2 linked regions of the Caenorhabditis elegans genome follow. The protein of the gene in region 1 purifies or fractionates together with the protein of each later gene. This does not show direct contact. Each region holds a gene or a part of one and is shown in the gene's direction. Other genes may lie near its edges.

What was found.
Region 2: the proteins of sas-7 (region 1) and W06B4.1 fractionate together in Caenorhabditis elegans (co-fractionation; one large-scale study listed by BioGRID). This does not show direct contact.

What each region holds. Positions count from the first base shown.
Region 1 is NC_003281.10:10,319,036-10,328,063, forward strand, and holds sas-7 (Spindle assembly abnormal protein 7), read left to right. Parts: upstream 1-2,013; 5' UTR 2,014-2,023; coding exon 2,024-2,086; intron 2,087-2,149; coding exon 2,150-2,321; intron 2,322-2,372; coding exon 2,373-2,695; intron 2,696-2,769; coding exon 2,770-2,910; intron 2,911-3,230; coding exon 3,231-4,001; intron 4,002-4,346; coding exon 4,347-5,384; intron 5,385-5,483; coding exon 5,484-5,623; intron 5,624-6,011; coding exon 6,012-6,318; intron 6,319-6,405; coding exon 6,406-6,492; 3' UTR 6,493-6,640; downstream 6,641-9,028. Other genes in the region: unc-69 (Short coiled-coil protein homolog), read left to right, coding at 51-96, 162-299, 349-487, 756-963; nex-2 (Annexin), read right to left, coding at 7,081-7,596, 8,522-8,967.
Region 2 is NC_003280.10:4,469,969-4,476,301, forward strand, and holds W06B4.1 (Lipase_3 domain-containing protein), read left to right. Parts: upstream 1-1,626; 5' UTR 1,627-1,634; coding exon 1,635-2,118; intron 2,119-2,174; coding exon 2,175-2,513; intron 2,514-2,961; coding exon 2,962-3,365; 3' UTR 3,366-3,586; downstream 3,587-6,333. Other genes in the region: W06B4.2 (N-acetyl-D-glucosamine kinase), read left to right, coding at 1-701, 747-980.

The sequences.
Region 1 (9,028 bases):
GCTCCGCAGTACGTCTTCTAAGCCCTACTTCTGTTACAACGAGTATTACGATGAGCCAGAAAACCGAGCAAGATGATATTCCTCTCGCTGATGATGGTAAGTGTTCTGAAATTGAATTTCCTGAAAATAAACTTTTTTTAAAATATTGTTTAATTTTCCAGACGACACTGTAACTATAATTAGCGGTGGGAAAACTCCGAGAGCTGCCCAGCCACTTCCGAAGGAGGAACCACCAGAGGATCCAGAAGAGAAAGCCCGGATGATCACACAAGTGCTGGAACTTCAGAATACTTTGGATGGTAATTCACAGAAATTTCACTTTTTCTATATTGATTTTTTAAATTTTAGATCTCTCACAACGCGTCGAATCTGTCAAGGAAGAGAGTTTGAAGTTGAGATCGGAAAATCAAGTGCTCGGCCAGTACATTCAGAACCTAATGTCCTCCTCGTCAGTATTCCAGTCTTCTCAGCCGTCACGGCCCAAGCAGTAGGTGTTGTGTTGTCCTTTAAGAATCTTTTTTTCTAATTCGATTCCCCGTCCATTGATTGTTCCATTCTCGCCGCCCACATTGGGACCCTGTGCATGATTTCCTGAAACCATAATTGCCCCTTCCACTAACCCCGCTTTAATTGCTCCTCCGATCTTGTCAGCCTTTCAGTTGCCGAAATGTTACCAAAAAGTTATATATTTTATTAAATAAATAAATAATTTTTCCAAGATCCTATTACAGTTAATATTTACAGAGATGATTCAGTTCACGACGACGATTTTGGAGAGTACGAATATTAGAAATTAGGCCGATTGTAAATAGAAGATGTCCATACCACAGTCTTTCGTTCGTTTCAAGAGCTCAGTTTGCACAACAAAAATTCTCTTATCGTGTTCAACCCGCTTATTTTATTTTCTTTACATTTTCTGTACGATTTTTTATCACATTTTTGTGTTTGTGTGAATATATTTAGTGTAGTAAAACTGTTACGAGTGCTCATCTCTTCTGTTGTGTTGTTCTATGCCTTCATTGGGTGACAAACTGGTTTCCGGCGCCGTGGACATTGATTTTATCACATAATTTCACGTCTAACAATGCTATTTAGTTATTTTTCAGTTAAAGTAAATAAAAAACAAAGAAAATGAAACTGGTAAAAGTAAATTTAAGCAATTTTCGAAAAAAAAATTTAATCGAATTAATTTCAAAATGTACCAACTACAGTAGTATCTGCAATTGTGCGTCGCGGTGTTTGCGGAGCATGATTTTTTAGTTCAAAATTTCGAGACCCGAAGGAACTCGGAGGATGTCCAACTGGGTGGATTCCCAACTCGGGGGATTGGCCACGCCCACAGAACCGTGCCTTACAATACGCCCATTTCTGCAACCTCCGCACGGTTTTAAAATTATTTTTTCTTGTTATTTCTCGCTCTATTGAGAAAAATACAGTTTTAAAATCGTGCGGCAGTTGCAGAAATGGGCGTATTGCAAGCCACGGTTCTGTGGGCGGGGCCAATCCCCCGAGTTGGTAATCCCCCCAATTGGACATCCCCCGAGTTCTTCGGGTCTCCCCAATTGGACATTCCCCGAGTTCTTCGGGTCTCGGGTCTCGTACCAACTACAGTAGTATCTGCAATTGTGCGTCGCGGTGTTTGCGGAGCATGATTTTTTAGTTCAAAATTTCAAATTAAATTAAATTAATTTTTCATTCTCAAAGTTTTAAAGCGGAATTTACATACGGGGCGCTCGTTCTTGCGGTTTTTCTTCAAAAGAACAATATTTTTTGTCGGAAATTGCATCTTTGCAGACCGAACCAGAAGAGAAGACGCACAAAAAGGGAATATTGAGTGTCCCTTTTTGTTCGTCTTCCCTCTTGGCCCGGTCTTTATCCTCTTTTGTTATTATAATTACCGTTTACCATTTAACTGTTGCACACTTACGCAGTGTACGCAGTTGCGCGTCACGGTGTTCACACGTTTTGGCTCGAGCTTTGAATATTATAAATTTCTCCCGCGATCTATCAGACTTTGCAGATAATGGGAGAAATTCCACCGACAGACAGTGGGTATCCGACGCCTCGAGATGAAATTCCATCCACGGTGAGTTGATTTTAAGCCTAGTTTTCAGCTAAATTTGTATATATTTATATAATTTATTTTCAGTCCCGACCCAATTCGCCGAACAATGCACAGCTATACCCGTTGACATCGACGCCGATTCGCGGCAACAAAAGCCGATCGATGAAGGAAAATTTCGCGACTTTCCGAAACGATCTCTCGATCATCGAGTCGACGGGCTCCGACACAATTGAAAACGATTCGCATTTTGTTCTCGGTACGGTTCCAAGGCAATTCTATCAATTAACATATCCTGTGTACCCTTTAGACGGTGTTAAATCTCTACTGGAGGCGTCGAAAGAGCTCAAGAAAAAGGATCGGGCGAATTCGTTGCTCCGAGATCAAAATGAGTCTCTTCGCGGTGAAAACGAGTCACTTCGAGAGGAGAATTGCTCGCTGCGTGAGGAATCGAGAAGGATGGATTTGGTGGATAAAGAGAATGTCATTCCAGTGATCCCAAGGCTTGTGTTTGATGAGAAGCCCGATTTGGATCCGATTACAGTAAAATCCAGTGAACAAATAAAAAAAGAGCTCTTGTCATTTATCAAAAATGATGAAGATCGCACGATTATGGAGGCTAAAATGGAAAATGTACGTGGAAAACTAATAAAATATGCCATTTAAAAATTAAAAATCGATTAAAATCTTCATTTCTCACATTCCAGATGCTGATAAGCGACTCCAAACCACCTGCGAAAGTGTTCACGGCCACCGCGACCATCCAAGTGGACACTGAGAAGATGGACGCCAACATTCAGACTGATAAGGATGATCATGTCAATGTGGTCAACGCGAACTTGCAGATTGTACGTAAATTGGTAGAAAACTTGTGAAAACCGTCGAAAATTTTGTAAAAATTGTAAAATTATGCAAATTTCAGTTAAAAAAAGAGGATTTTTCATTGAAAAATCTGAAAATTGCCGGATATTATACTATTAAAAGAGTCAGGAAATTCTGAAAAACTACAAAAATGTTTTTTTTCGTCCAGAATAATAATTTAAAAGTTTTGAAAATGACAAAAACTGCTGATTTTTTCGTTTTTTTTGTGAAATATTTCAGTTTTTCGTTCCAAAAATCCCTAAACTTCCGCGTAATTGTTGAAATTTCAAATATTTTATTTTTTCAGGAAGTGGATCAGCTACACTCGGAGATCGAGGTCATTGGCAAGAAGAAATCCGATCTGGAAAATCGCCTTTTCGATTATGAGAAGCTGAAAGCTCAGTTCGAGCAAGATGAGAACAAGCTGCGTGCAGATTTGGAGAAGAAGCTCAAGACTAGTCAGGAGAAGCTTGTGAAGTACGAAGGAAAGATCGAAGAGCTCCAGTCAAGGCTCAACAAGAAGCGTAAGGAACTGGAAGAGGTTCAAGCGGAGAATCGGAAGCTTCTGGAGGACAAGAATACGCACGATTTCGAGCTTGACGAGGCGAAAGTTCAGGGAGAGCACTTGGAGAAGCAGAGGAAGGAGGCTTGGGAGAAGGTGGAGCAGCTACAGGAGATGCTAGGAGAACTTGAAGCCGAGCTTGATCGACAGAAGGAGTTGAAACTGCAGCTGGAGAAAGACATGGAAGATTTGAGAAAGGAGCACGAGGGTCAGATGGCGGAGCTCGAGAAGCGTTTAGAAAAAGTTTCGGAAAAAGAGAAGGAGGCCATTGAGCAGTTGGAGAAGATACAGAAAGAAAATAAGACGATTGTGAAGGAGAACGTGTATCTGTCTGAGTCGAAGCAAGTGCTCCTTGAAAGTGAGATTAACCTGAAGAATGAGCTGGATGAGATGGCCGTGAAGCTTCGCAACTCTCAACATCAAGTCGCTGGGCTCAACGAGAAGATTTCGGAGGAGAAGAGGCGGAGGAAGAAGCAGGATGCGGATGTCACCAGGCTTGATGAGCAGAATCAGAAGGTAAATTTTGTAAAATTATAAATAAAAACTCTTTTCCGATCTTTACACGGAAAAAGCTTTAAAATTGGAGCTTAGAAACTGCAGTTGGAGCTTAGAAACTGCACTGGAGCTGCAGTTTAAACTGAAAAAATAGATACTGTATAATTTTTTTTTAATATAAAAAGTGAACTAAAAATGGAAAAATCTCGAATTTTCAGCTAGAAAAATAAAAAATAATTTTTTTAACTGAAATATTTTGCAATGAAGCTCATTAGAAATCTCGAATTTCCAGGTGAAATTGATATAAAAATGTGAAAACCTGATGAAAAATTTTTCAATTAAAATCACAAAAATCCAATTTTTCAGCTCCTCCGAGAAGCTCAAGACTCGGCGGAACTGCTTGAAGAAGTTCAGAAGGGAAAGCGAGAAATCGATCATCTCCGCCAACAGCTAGCTCATCAGTCGTCGGAAGCTGGCTCCGTTGGCCAGCTTCAGCAGAAGCTAGCTGAATCCGAGCACCGTGAGTACCTACTGCAGCTGGAATTGGAGCGAGTCATGAAGATGGAACGCGACCTGGATGGCAGAATCGAAGGATATATTCGATCAGAGGCGGCGGCGAACAATGAGCTCGAGAGGCTGAGAAAGGACACGGCTGAGCAGAAGGAGAAGCTCGAGGCTATGGAGATGGAAGCTCGTAGCAAGGATTTGGAGCTGGCTGATTTAACGCGGAAACTGGCGAAGGCGAGAGAGGAGCATGAGACGTTTGAAATCAATGCTCGGAATCAATTCTATGCAGTCACCGGTCAGATGCACGAGGATATCGAGAGCTACAAACAACGCTTGCTGGAGTTGGAACCTTATCCTGGAAAGATCATTTCAGGATCGTTCCGAGACTTTCCTTCGCAGACAGATCCTTCTCCTGCAACGACGGATGCCTGGATGCAAACGGATGTGGAAGAACAGCTCATGGTGAGCCCGGAAGTGTCACTGGTATCCGAAGCTCCCTCATCGCTCCAGGATTCCCGACGCTCGTCGCACCTAGATGAGAAACTTCGACGGACTATCGAAAAAATTGGGGAGTTGCTCGCTGAGCATGAAAGCTTCCAGGAGAGCCTGCGCGATCCAGAGTTTCACACGGCAGAGGCTTTCCGCAAAATCTCTCAGCTTCTCAAGTCAATCCTATCTGGTGCCAATTCGGAAGAGATGCTTGAAAGGATTTGGACGTGGCTGACTCTAAAGACGAAGGCGCTGGTGGAGCAGCAAGATGAGCAGATGAAGAAGGTACAGAAGGCCGGCGAGATGCTGTTGAGCCAGTTGCGAGAGAAAGAGTCGGACAACGAGGTGCTTACGAAGAAGTCGTTGGAGATGGAGGCGGCAGCGGAAGAGTTTCGCACTTATTATAACGTGAGATTTGGTCACTATATATTCGGTGGATATCGGCGAAAATCTAAATTATTATTAAAGAAAAAAAAAGAATTTCAAAAAAATTAAAGTTTTTTCCAGGATATGTTGACCGAAAACGATGAGCTCCGCCACCGGATTGTGCAGTTGGACGAAATTCGAGAGGTGGAATCCTCCAACAGCACGAAGATCGAGAAGGGACTCCGCGAGCAGCTGGAGCAAGCTCAGCACGAACTGGAAAAGTAGGTTTTTATTTTAAAAAATTCCAAAGAGTGTTTGGCTTAAATTCTTGGTTTTTGATGGTTACAATTTTTTTTCTGGAAAAAAACCTTACACTTTTTGAAAAATTAGCAAAAATTTAGAAATAAGCACAAATTAGCGAATTTCATACAGAAATCACTCAAAATTTCAAAAAAAAAACCCCTCCTAATTTTGGCTAAAATATTGAATTTTGGCTATTTTCCGTGACCGGAAATTGGCTGTGACACGGAAAATCGGCAAAATTGGAGATTTTAGCTGAAATTTGTCCGTTCTAAATTTTTGAAGAATCTCTTGACGAAATTCTGTTTTTATTGCTATTTTGAGACTAATAAATAGAAAAAAAATTATTTCAATTTTATTAATTTTCAGGAAAAAGCGTGAATACATGTGGAAGCTTCAGCAGAAGGACGAGTTCTACGAGATTATGGATCGCAACGTGAAGGAGACGGAGAAGGAGAACAAGCGTCTGCTGCGGAAGCGAACGGAGGATAAGGAAAGGATGGATGATTTCATGCTGAACATCCGCAAAGCGCAGGAGCAATGGAAATATCTTCGTATGCGAAATTGCCAACGACACACTTCAATGATGAATATGCTGGAATCTGTGAAGAAGAAGAAGCATGAATCACGGGATATGAACTGGCTTCTACAGCGTTTCGAGGATAGCATTAGAAAGGTTCGGGTTTAAAAATAATTTAAAGAAAATCTAGAAAAAATATATTTCAATATCCTAAAATTGGGTTTTAAAATTCCTTTTTTCCAGTACGGCGTGGCAGAACTGACGACAGAAGAAATATTGGAGCCCGAAGGCAGCAGAAGCAGTAGCAGTAGAACCCTATCCAATCATTGATTGATCGATTTAATATACATTTATTTTCGTTTTTTTTGTCTCATATCCTACTGTGAATATTACTTGTGTGAAACAAAACGGGACATTTGTTTTTTTTTTTCAATTTTATGTCTTCTTTAAATTACATGAATAAATTGCGTATTTCTTTAGACAGCTTTTGAATTTAGTGTTCTAATTATAATTTCGGGATGAATTTTGGGAAGGCGCAGGCCGCCTCGTAGGCAGGCATACCTACAGTAAAGCCTTACAAAAATGGAATAGAAGAAATGATTATTTTGATAAAAAGCCAGATGCGTAATTTTTTGTGTGTGATAAGAGAAAAGAGGGAAATGGTAAATACAAGTTCACGTGGTGTCAATTTGTCTCAATGAGGTTTGATCTACAAAAAATGCGGTAATTTTTCCCCATGAATGTGTGACGTCAGCACACTCTTAACCATGCGAAATCAGTTGAAAAGTCTGCGTCTCTTCACCCGCATTTTTCGAAGATCAAATCAAAATGGAACACTTTGACACCACGTACAAGTTGAGATTGCATGTTGTTATTAAAAATGAAAAATGAAATGGAAAATAGAAAAATTAAGCGAAATTATCCACGATTTCCATTAACCAAAGCGATCAATCCCTCTTTATAAGCTCCCGAGCAGTCTCCCTTGATCATATTTTCCAGCGATGTTCTGTACAATGATTGGAACATGTTCCGAATGTCACCCATATCGTATTCAGCACGTGTCACGCACAATCTAATCAGGTCATTGTCACGCGTGCCGAGACCCTTCATACTGTCATGGAGAAGCTTTGCAAAGTAGGCCGGCCTGTTACGGATGACGGCAATCACTGCGAGAAGTCCGTCACGAATGTCACCGCTGAACTCGAATTCGATGGCCTTCTCGATTGAGTGATTCGAGGCTTTTTGGTATTCCTCGAACACTAATCGCAGTTGACTGAAGTTCTGACTTGCGAGGATCGCGTTGAACGTCGATTCGTCCGTTCCGAGACGTTTCTCGCCGGCTTGGAGCAGGCGGCGGGCGTCTTGGTTGGCTCGGAGACCGTCGGTTTGGCTGGATTCGTCACGGCCGCCGGCGCACAAGGAGACGAGGAGACGCTGAAAATTATACGAGATTGTGATATTTTCTAAGAAAAAACTTTGAAAATCTACTATTTAAAGTTTGAACCATTAAATGGGCGGAGCTAATAAACCACGCTTACTCAAAGGAGAGAGCTTCACGTTTCTGGTGATGAAGCATTTTTGTGGTTAGCTTTTTCTATTCAGGAAGTTCAGAAGCCTCCCTATTAGACTTGCACTCCCTATTAGTATTGCTCCTTGAACACCCTCCGAAAATTAGTATTGCACTCCCTATTAGTGTTGCACTCCCTAATAGTCTTGCGTCTATTTTTTTTTGGTACAAAATCACCTCACTAATTTTGAGATTTTAACAACATTTTTTGCCTACTGTGCAACAATTTTTGGAAAAATTTCAATGAAATTGAAGTTATTACACCTTTTTGTTGCAATTACAATCAAATTCTCTGAATTTTCACACAAGGTTCGAGTTTTTTCAGAAAAAAAATAGTAAGCTCAAAGTCAGAAAAATGTTCTGAAAATTAGTATTGCACTCCCTAATAGTCTTGCACTCCCTATTAGTATTGCAAGCGGGAAGACCATCGAACAATAGTATTGCAGCTATATTAATAGAAGAAATACGGTACTCGAAAGGAGCAAACTTTGCACGTTATTCAAAGGACAGCTATTAATCAAAAAAGTTTTGGAAAATTGTGCTAGGCTCCTCCCATTTAATGGTCATGACCGGCCACCCATACAGGGACGGAGCTCACAATTACTGTCGTAATTATGTTTTTTTTATGTGAAAATTTCAGGAAGCTCATAGAAGAATTCAAAAATGCTGCTAAACACAATAAATGAGCGTGGTTTGTTAAGCTCCACCCTCAAAATGGAAGTTGGAGTTTTGGAGGCCGAGTTTTTAAATTTTCCTCGGCCACGGTCGTTAAAATTATTTCGAAAAGTTTACCTTGAAATGCCCGCTGGTTTCACCGATCAAATCTCTCTCCAAATCCTTCTTGAAGAGCATCTTATAGGCATCACGAACTTGTTGAATCTGAGCATTAGTCCTTGACGTCATAATCTCGATAAGCACGGATTCTTTCGTGCCGAGACCCTCCATTGCACGGTGCAACTGCTTGGCGTCGTAGATTGCCGGTGCGTCCATCAGCGCAAGAATGAGATCTTCAAAGTCTCCATGGAGCTCACCCTTGAGCTCTTTGATCAAATCTTTTCCGTACATCACTTTGAATGCCTTGGAGATTTCTTGACGTTGCCAGTTGGTACGTTGGCAGAGGATGCTGATCACCTTCGAGTTGTTACATCCGAGACCTTTCATCGCTTTTCGCAGAACTTCTGCGTCGGCGTTCGAGTTGAAGCCTTGAACTGGGAAGACTGACGGTGTGCCGATCATTACTGAAATTTTTGGGAATTAGTGTTCGGTGATGGTCTCGAGATAATGGAAGAGAAAATTCTA
Region 2 (6,333 bases), on another chromosome or scaffold:
TCGACGCAGACACTAATCAGAGATACACTTCATCGACAGAAGGAACCAATTTCTTTTTGACGGATCACACGATCGTTTGCAAACGAATAGCTGATTGGATTCTGGAAGTTTTCGAGAAGGAGAAGCTGGACATTAAGAATCTCAAGGCTCTCGGTCTAGGGCTTTCTGGTGCCGAAGATGAGGAATTTAACAAGAAATTCGTTGATTACTTCCGTCAGAATCATGGAAATGTCACGGAAAACTTCTACTTGACTTCCGACGCTGTGATGACTCTTTTGGCCAATTTTCCAGGAGAGGAAAATGGGATTGTACTGATTGCTGGGACCGGATCTTCGTGTCGACTAAAAATTCGTGACGGATCTGTAAAAGGAGCCGGCGGCTGGGGACATCAAATTGGAGACGGAGGAAGTGCATTTTGGATCGCTCGAACTGCGATCCAGATGCTTTTCGACGCGGAAGACGGGTTCGAGGAGAACTTTAATACTGATGTTATCAAACAGCTGCTCTTCAAACACTATAATATTACTGATAAAACTAGAATGCTCGACTATTTGTACTCTAAATTTGAGAAGCATAAAATTGCCGATTTTACAGTTTCTCTCGCGGAACGAACTGACGATGCGGCTGTGGCAGAAGCTTTCAGAAGAGCTGGAGATGTTCTCGGAAAACATGTGAGAACTGTGGCAAAGTATCTCACCAATGTAATCAAATTTAAAATTTTTAAAACATTAATTCTGAATTTTCAGGAAGATCGAAAAGTTCTCAGCATTGTCCAGATCGGAGGAGTCTTTCAATCATGGGATGCTCTCCAACAAGGATTTGTGGCTTCTTTGAGTGGATCTGGAATCGAGAAAATCGTAATGTACGAGCCATCTGATTCACCTGCGGTTGGCGCAGCTGTGCTCGCTGCGAAGGAGCGGAACGAGATTTTCTTGCAGCAGAATGTAGAGAAAAAGATGCTGAGGGAGATTAATTTGTAGCTAAATTTCGGATTTAACTTTGTTATATCAAATTTGTACATTTTTAATTATATATTTCATGAATAAATTTTTATAAATCAATAAAGAAAAAAACTTCAAAAAACTGCGCACCAGTTTGCCAATCAAACTCCGCCCACTTTTCTGCGCACATCGCCAGAATTTTGCATTTTTGAATTATTTTATTGGTTTTTTGTAGATCAGGCGGGTTTTGTCAGAATTAAAGCAGAATTTTTGCAAAATAAAATGCGGGAAATATTCTAGCATTCAAATTTGATCTATTTTCCCTCGCTGCAGCGCTAAAAATTGGTTTTCCGAGGCGTTTTCCACTCAGATTTGCTTTTTATCCAATTCAGGGGTTTTTACGGCGTTTCGACAAAATGATCTATTGCACCACTTGATTTAACTGATAATATCATTTATTCCAGCTGAAACATTCGGAGAAATGCTCAAAAATGGTCTGGAAGTTGCAAATTATCAATTTTGAGCATTTTCCAAGTGTTTCAACTGGAATAAATGGTATTTTCAGATAATTTTTAGTTGAAAATGTTGGGTTATTTTGCAGAATTGTCGAATATAATCGCTGTTAAATTAGTTTTCGTTTTTTTCATAGTTTTCTAAATATAACATTATTCGTTCGATTTTTCAGTTCCAACGATGACAAAAAATGGCAAAGGAAACCGAAAAAGCACCACGATCCACGTCATCAAACCACCGATGCAGATTCCAGCTCGAGTGGATCCACCGAAACCGCTGAAGGATTTCTACTGCGGAGTTGAGGGAAACTTAGCCTGCACCCGCATCGTCGTCATCGATTCAGCGAATACTCGCTACTGGAGAACCGTCGTCGGAACTGATCTTCACTACTTCAAGCCCAGAGTAGCTTCGGAGACGATCGCTTCAGGCGTCGAAGCTGCGATGAGAAAAGCGACTGGCAAGGACAATTGGAGAGAGAAGGGCGTCATTCGACGCGTCGTCGTCCTGTTCGCCCAGACTGATCGGGGTGATAAAGTCGACGATCTCGTGACTTTTTTCCGGAATAAATATGTTTCCGTGGCGCCTGAGAAGAGAATCTGTGAAGATTTCCATGTTATGTCCGAAATCGACGCAGTTGCACCGGCTCATTTCCAGAAAGGAGAAGGTAAATTTAATTTCGAATCTTGAGAAAAATAAATTAAATTCAACATTTTTATTAAGAAGGAATTGCTCTTCAAGCCGGCGTCGACGCATTCTGCAGACTGGTCTTAAAGGACGGTACAATGAAGAAGCCCGACATCACACCAGGCATGATTGGACATGGAGGTGCCTACTGGTGTGGACGTACATCCTTCCAGATGTTTGTCAATGACGTTGAGCGTGGCACGGAGAACATGATGAGCCGAGGCAACAAGAGCAGTGTGACGGACAAAATAAAAGACGTGTTCAAGACGGTATTTTCAATGAAGAATGACCGAGACCTGCTTCAAATGAATGAAATATGCTTCTCCAATTATTATAAGCATCGTCTGGCGCTGTTCACCGAAAAGTTGGCCAGACGTAAGTAAAAACTCCGGTTTACTCTACTGATTTTGCAGCTCGTGTACTCCCCGAGGATTTTTTTTTTAAATTCAAAGAATCAATCTTTCGTAAAAATATTTTTTTTATTCAAAAAATCAATTTTCGTCACAATAAAAATTTTCGTCACATCAAAAAAACTTTTTAAAAAATCAATTTTTCGACAGAATATTTTTTTAAAAATTAAAAAAAATCAATTTTTCGTTAAAATATTTTGTTTTAATTCAAAAAATCTATGTTTTGCCAAACTATTTTTTAAAAATTCAAAAAAAATCAATTTTTCGTCAAAATATTTTTTAAATAAATTCAAAAAAATAAATTTTTCGTTAAAATATTTTTTTAAAAATTCAAAAAATCAATTTTTGTCAAAATATCAACAAATAAAATCCAAAAAAAATCAAATATTTATTTCAAGTCATGTTTTTTTCAGATAATATGATTGGCGACGTGGACACTACAAAACAGGAAGAGGGAGAAGAGGAAGAGCAAAATGAGCAAGTGGAAGAGTATGAACAGCTCCCTGTAATCGCCGAAGTCTTCCACAACGCCGGAATCACACTCGGAAATCTCGTTGTAAACGTCTTGCGTCAATATCCCCCCACTGAGAAAGAGAAAACACTGAAAATTCTGCTCTTCGGACGAATGTTCGATTCTTATAAAAATCTGATGAGCGGCTTCCTCGACTCGATCTCTGATACAGGATTCGAACGCGTCGAGCTCTACCGAAAGAAGGAAGTTTCTGCGGTGACTGCTGCAATCCACGCGGCATCACTGGACAATATCGAGCTGGGCATGAACGAAATGGAGTTTATCGATCGTGTCGCATTCTGCTAGAAGATCTTTAAATTTCCATAATTTATATAATGTGTATATTGTGTATTTATTTATATTGCCATATTTTTCAACTCCATTCTTGTGTCATGAGCAATCCCACTAAATTATTTTCTATAAAAACCACCAAATAGGTTTGAATTACATACATCAGTTTCCTGTAAATCTCTCCCCAATTCACCTCTCAATTGTTTGCTTTTCAAAGTATAAAATAAGCATAGACATCTTTCGCTCATCCGCTCCGTCCATTATGTAATTTATATACACAAGACCCCCTGTTGCCTACCCTCCCCACTAGCATTCTTCATCTTATTCATTACGAAGTTTCACTGCAATAGGGCTACTAGCTAGCGCAAGCTAATTATCATTATGTAACTGTGAAAATGACGGAAAAGTATATAGATTCTTCGTTTCTTTCCAGTTTTTTAAAAGTTCTTTCCGTTAAGTTTCTTCTACAGAATTCGGGTGGTGGGCGATGCCAAGAGAGTATAGTGTTCTCGAGTGTTTGCACTAGATTATGCACATTGTTCGCACGTTTTTCATTGAATAGGGGAGAACTTTTCGTGGGGTCACCAGCTCATGTGTGAACTTTTAATATTTTATTCTTAAGGTGTTCGGTTTGAAAATTTACTTATAATATTATACATACGCGAAATTTGGCGATTTTTGCATCAAAAATACGGTAAATGGTCTCGACGCGACAAATTTTGTTGTTACGAAGTTTTCATCGAATATAATTTTTTTTGAAAAAAAAAACTATCAAAAATCGATGAAAATTCCCCAAATTCGAATTACAGTACTCTTTAAAGGCGCATAACATTTTCCAATTCAACAAAAATTTATGGAATGCGCCTTTACGGCTTGGTTACTGTAGTCTAAACATTTTTATTTTGGCAGACGTGTACCTTTAAAGGGTTACGGTATTTTTATTGATTGTTTTTGAAAGATTGAAAAAAGCTTTTTGTAAAGCCAGATATTAATTTTAGGACTCTCACTAAGAACGAAATATTTTAAAATCGAGTGTGCGCCTTTAGGAATTACAGTAACCCCAAAAAAAGTTTGAAACTACAGTACTCCTTAAAGGCGCGCACAATTTTGTGTTTAACAAAGATTTGTCGTTTCGAGACCAGAAACGGTATTTTTAGCGGAAAGTTGCCGATTTTCGTTGCGAGACTTCTTTCTGGGCAAAAATCGCTAAAATTTACAACTTTTCGCCTAAAATCATCTGAAAGCTCTCGCGAGCCCCCGAAAATCCCAGCTGATCTTTCGATCATTTTAATGACACGTGTTTTGTTCCCTGATCAGATCGCCAACGTGACGTGGCAATGCGCTGTCAGTGATCCCACACACACACACACGGAAAGTCAATAAACACCGGTGGTGGAGGTCTCGGAGCTGTCAAAAATGGCCTCGAGATCTTCTAAGTGAGCAGGAAAATATGAAGAAACAGAAGAATAAGGAGAAGGTAACACACCACCTGCTACTTTTTATGAATTTTCTCTTTTCAATTCATAATTACTCTTGACCATCTTCCCCCAAATTTCTCTGACCTTGTTTCTCTTGCTTCAATCTCGTTCGGGTACATTTGTGTACTCTTGGTCGTGTTTTTGTCTGATGCTTCCGTCGTCGTCTCAATTTCTCCTAATTCCTAATCCGTGTTGAATTCTGATTTCCGATTGAATACTGGTCGCCACCCTAAAACAATAAGCTTTCCCTGTTCCCGACACGAATTGTCTCCTTCTTCTTGTTGTTTTTTTGTGCCTACCGCCCGTATTTGAAACCGTGTTTCTTCTCCATTTCAACATACAATTCGTCATCGACACAAAGCCTGTCTGCGTCACTTCATCTTCTATACTATCTCGAATTGAAACAAAAACGGATAACTTTGGGATTACCCAATGATTCAGTTCCACTCACACACCGTGAATACTTTTGTGCCTTTCATTTTGTTTTTCACAACGACGCTGGGTCCCGCCACGAATCTGCAATTGCTATGGAAACTTATGAAATTTCGAAATGTTATCCTAATCTGAAAATTTGAGATTTCAGCTGCAAAAATAAGGTGTCTGGTCTCGAAACGGCAGGCTTTTGTTATATCCGAAAACTCATGCGCCTTTAAAGAGTACTGTAGTTTCAAAATTGGCATAGATTTTTCATAGTTTTTGCGTACACATTTTACAATAAAGTGTCGTGTTGAGACCCACTTTTTGGAGGCATTTCCGGACGTGAGACAATATTTTTAGAAGACCAAAGTTTCCAATAAAGTAAATTTCATAACTAATTTGGAATTTCAGGAATTTTGGCGATTCAAAAAAATATTAGGTTGGTCAAAAAGTCTTTGCAAAATTTGTTTGTTTCTTCATTGCTCAGCGTTAATTTATTTTTTTCCAATTCTGTTTTTTTATTTGCACAGTGCGTAATGTGCATGTTTAATATATTTGAAAAAACTTTTCGGTGCTGTTCAAAATGACCGAGAATTTGCTCGCCGAACGTCACGCCCTCCGAGGGGTTTTTCTGTACGAGTTCCCCCAAAGCTGCAATTGCAACGAAGCTCGTCGTAACATGTGTGTAGTGTTAGGCAAGAACTCTGTCACCTACAATACCATGAAGTTTTGGTTCGAAAAGTTCACGAAAAAGAACTACCATCTCGATGATAAACCAAGATAAGATCGCTCTCGTTTGGATATCGATGAGGATATTTCGAGAGCCCTGGAAGATGATTCAAGAGCAACGTCACGCGAACTTTCTGCGACTCTCAAGCATCCCCAAAGAATCATCATCAACCATCTCCAAAAAACCGGAAAGATAGAAAAGTTCGGTCAACTCGTTCCTCACAAATTGTCCGATTCTCAGAAAAATTGCTTTGTGACCTCTCTCTTTCGCTGCTCACTAGGAAACGAACAACGGACTGGGTTAAAGATATCATTACTGGAAATGATAAATGGGTATTGTATGTTAGCCATACCAGGAA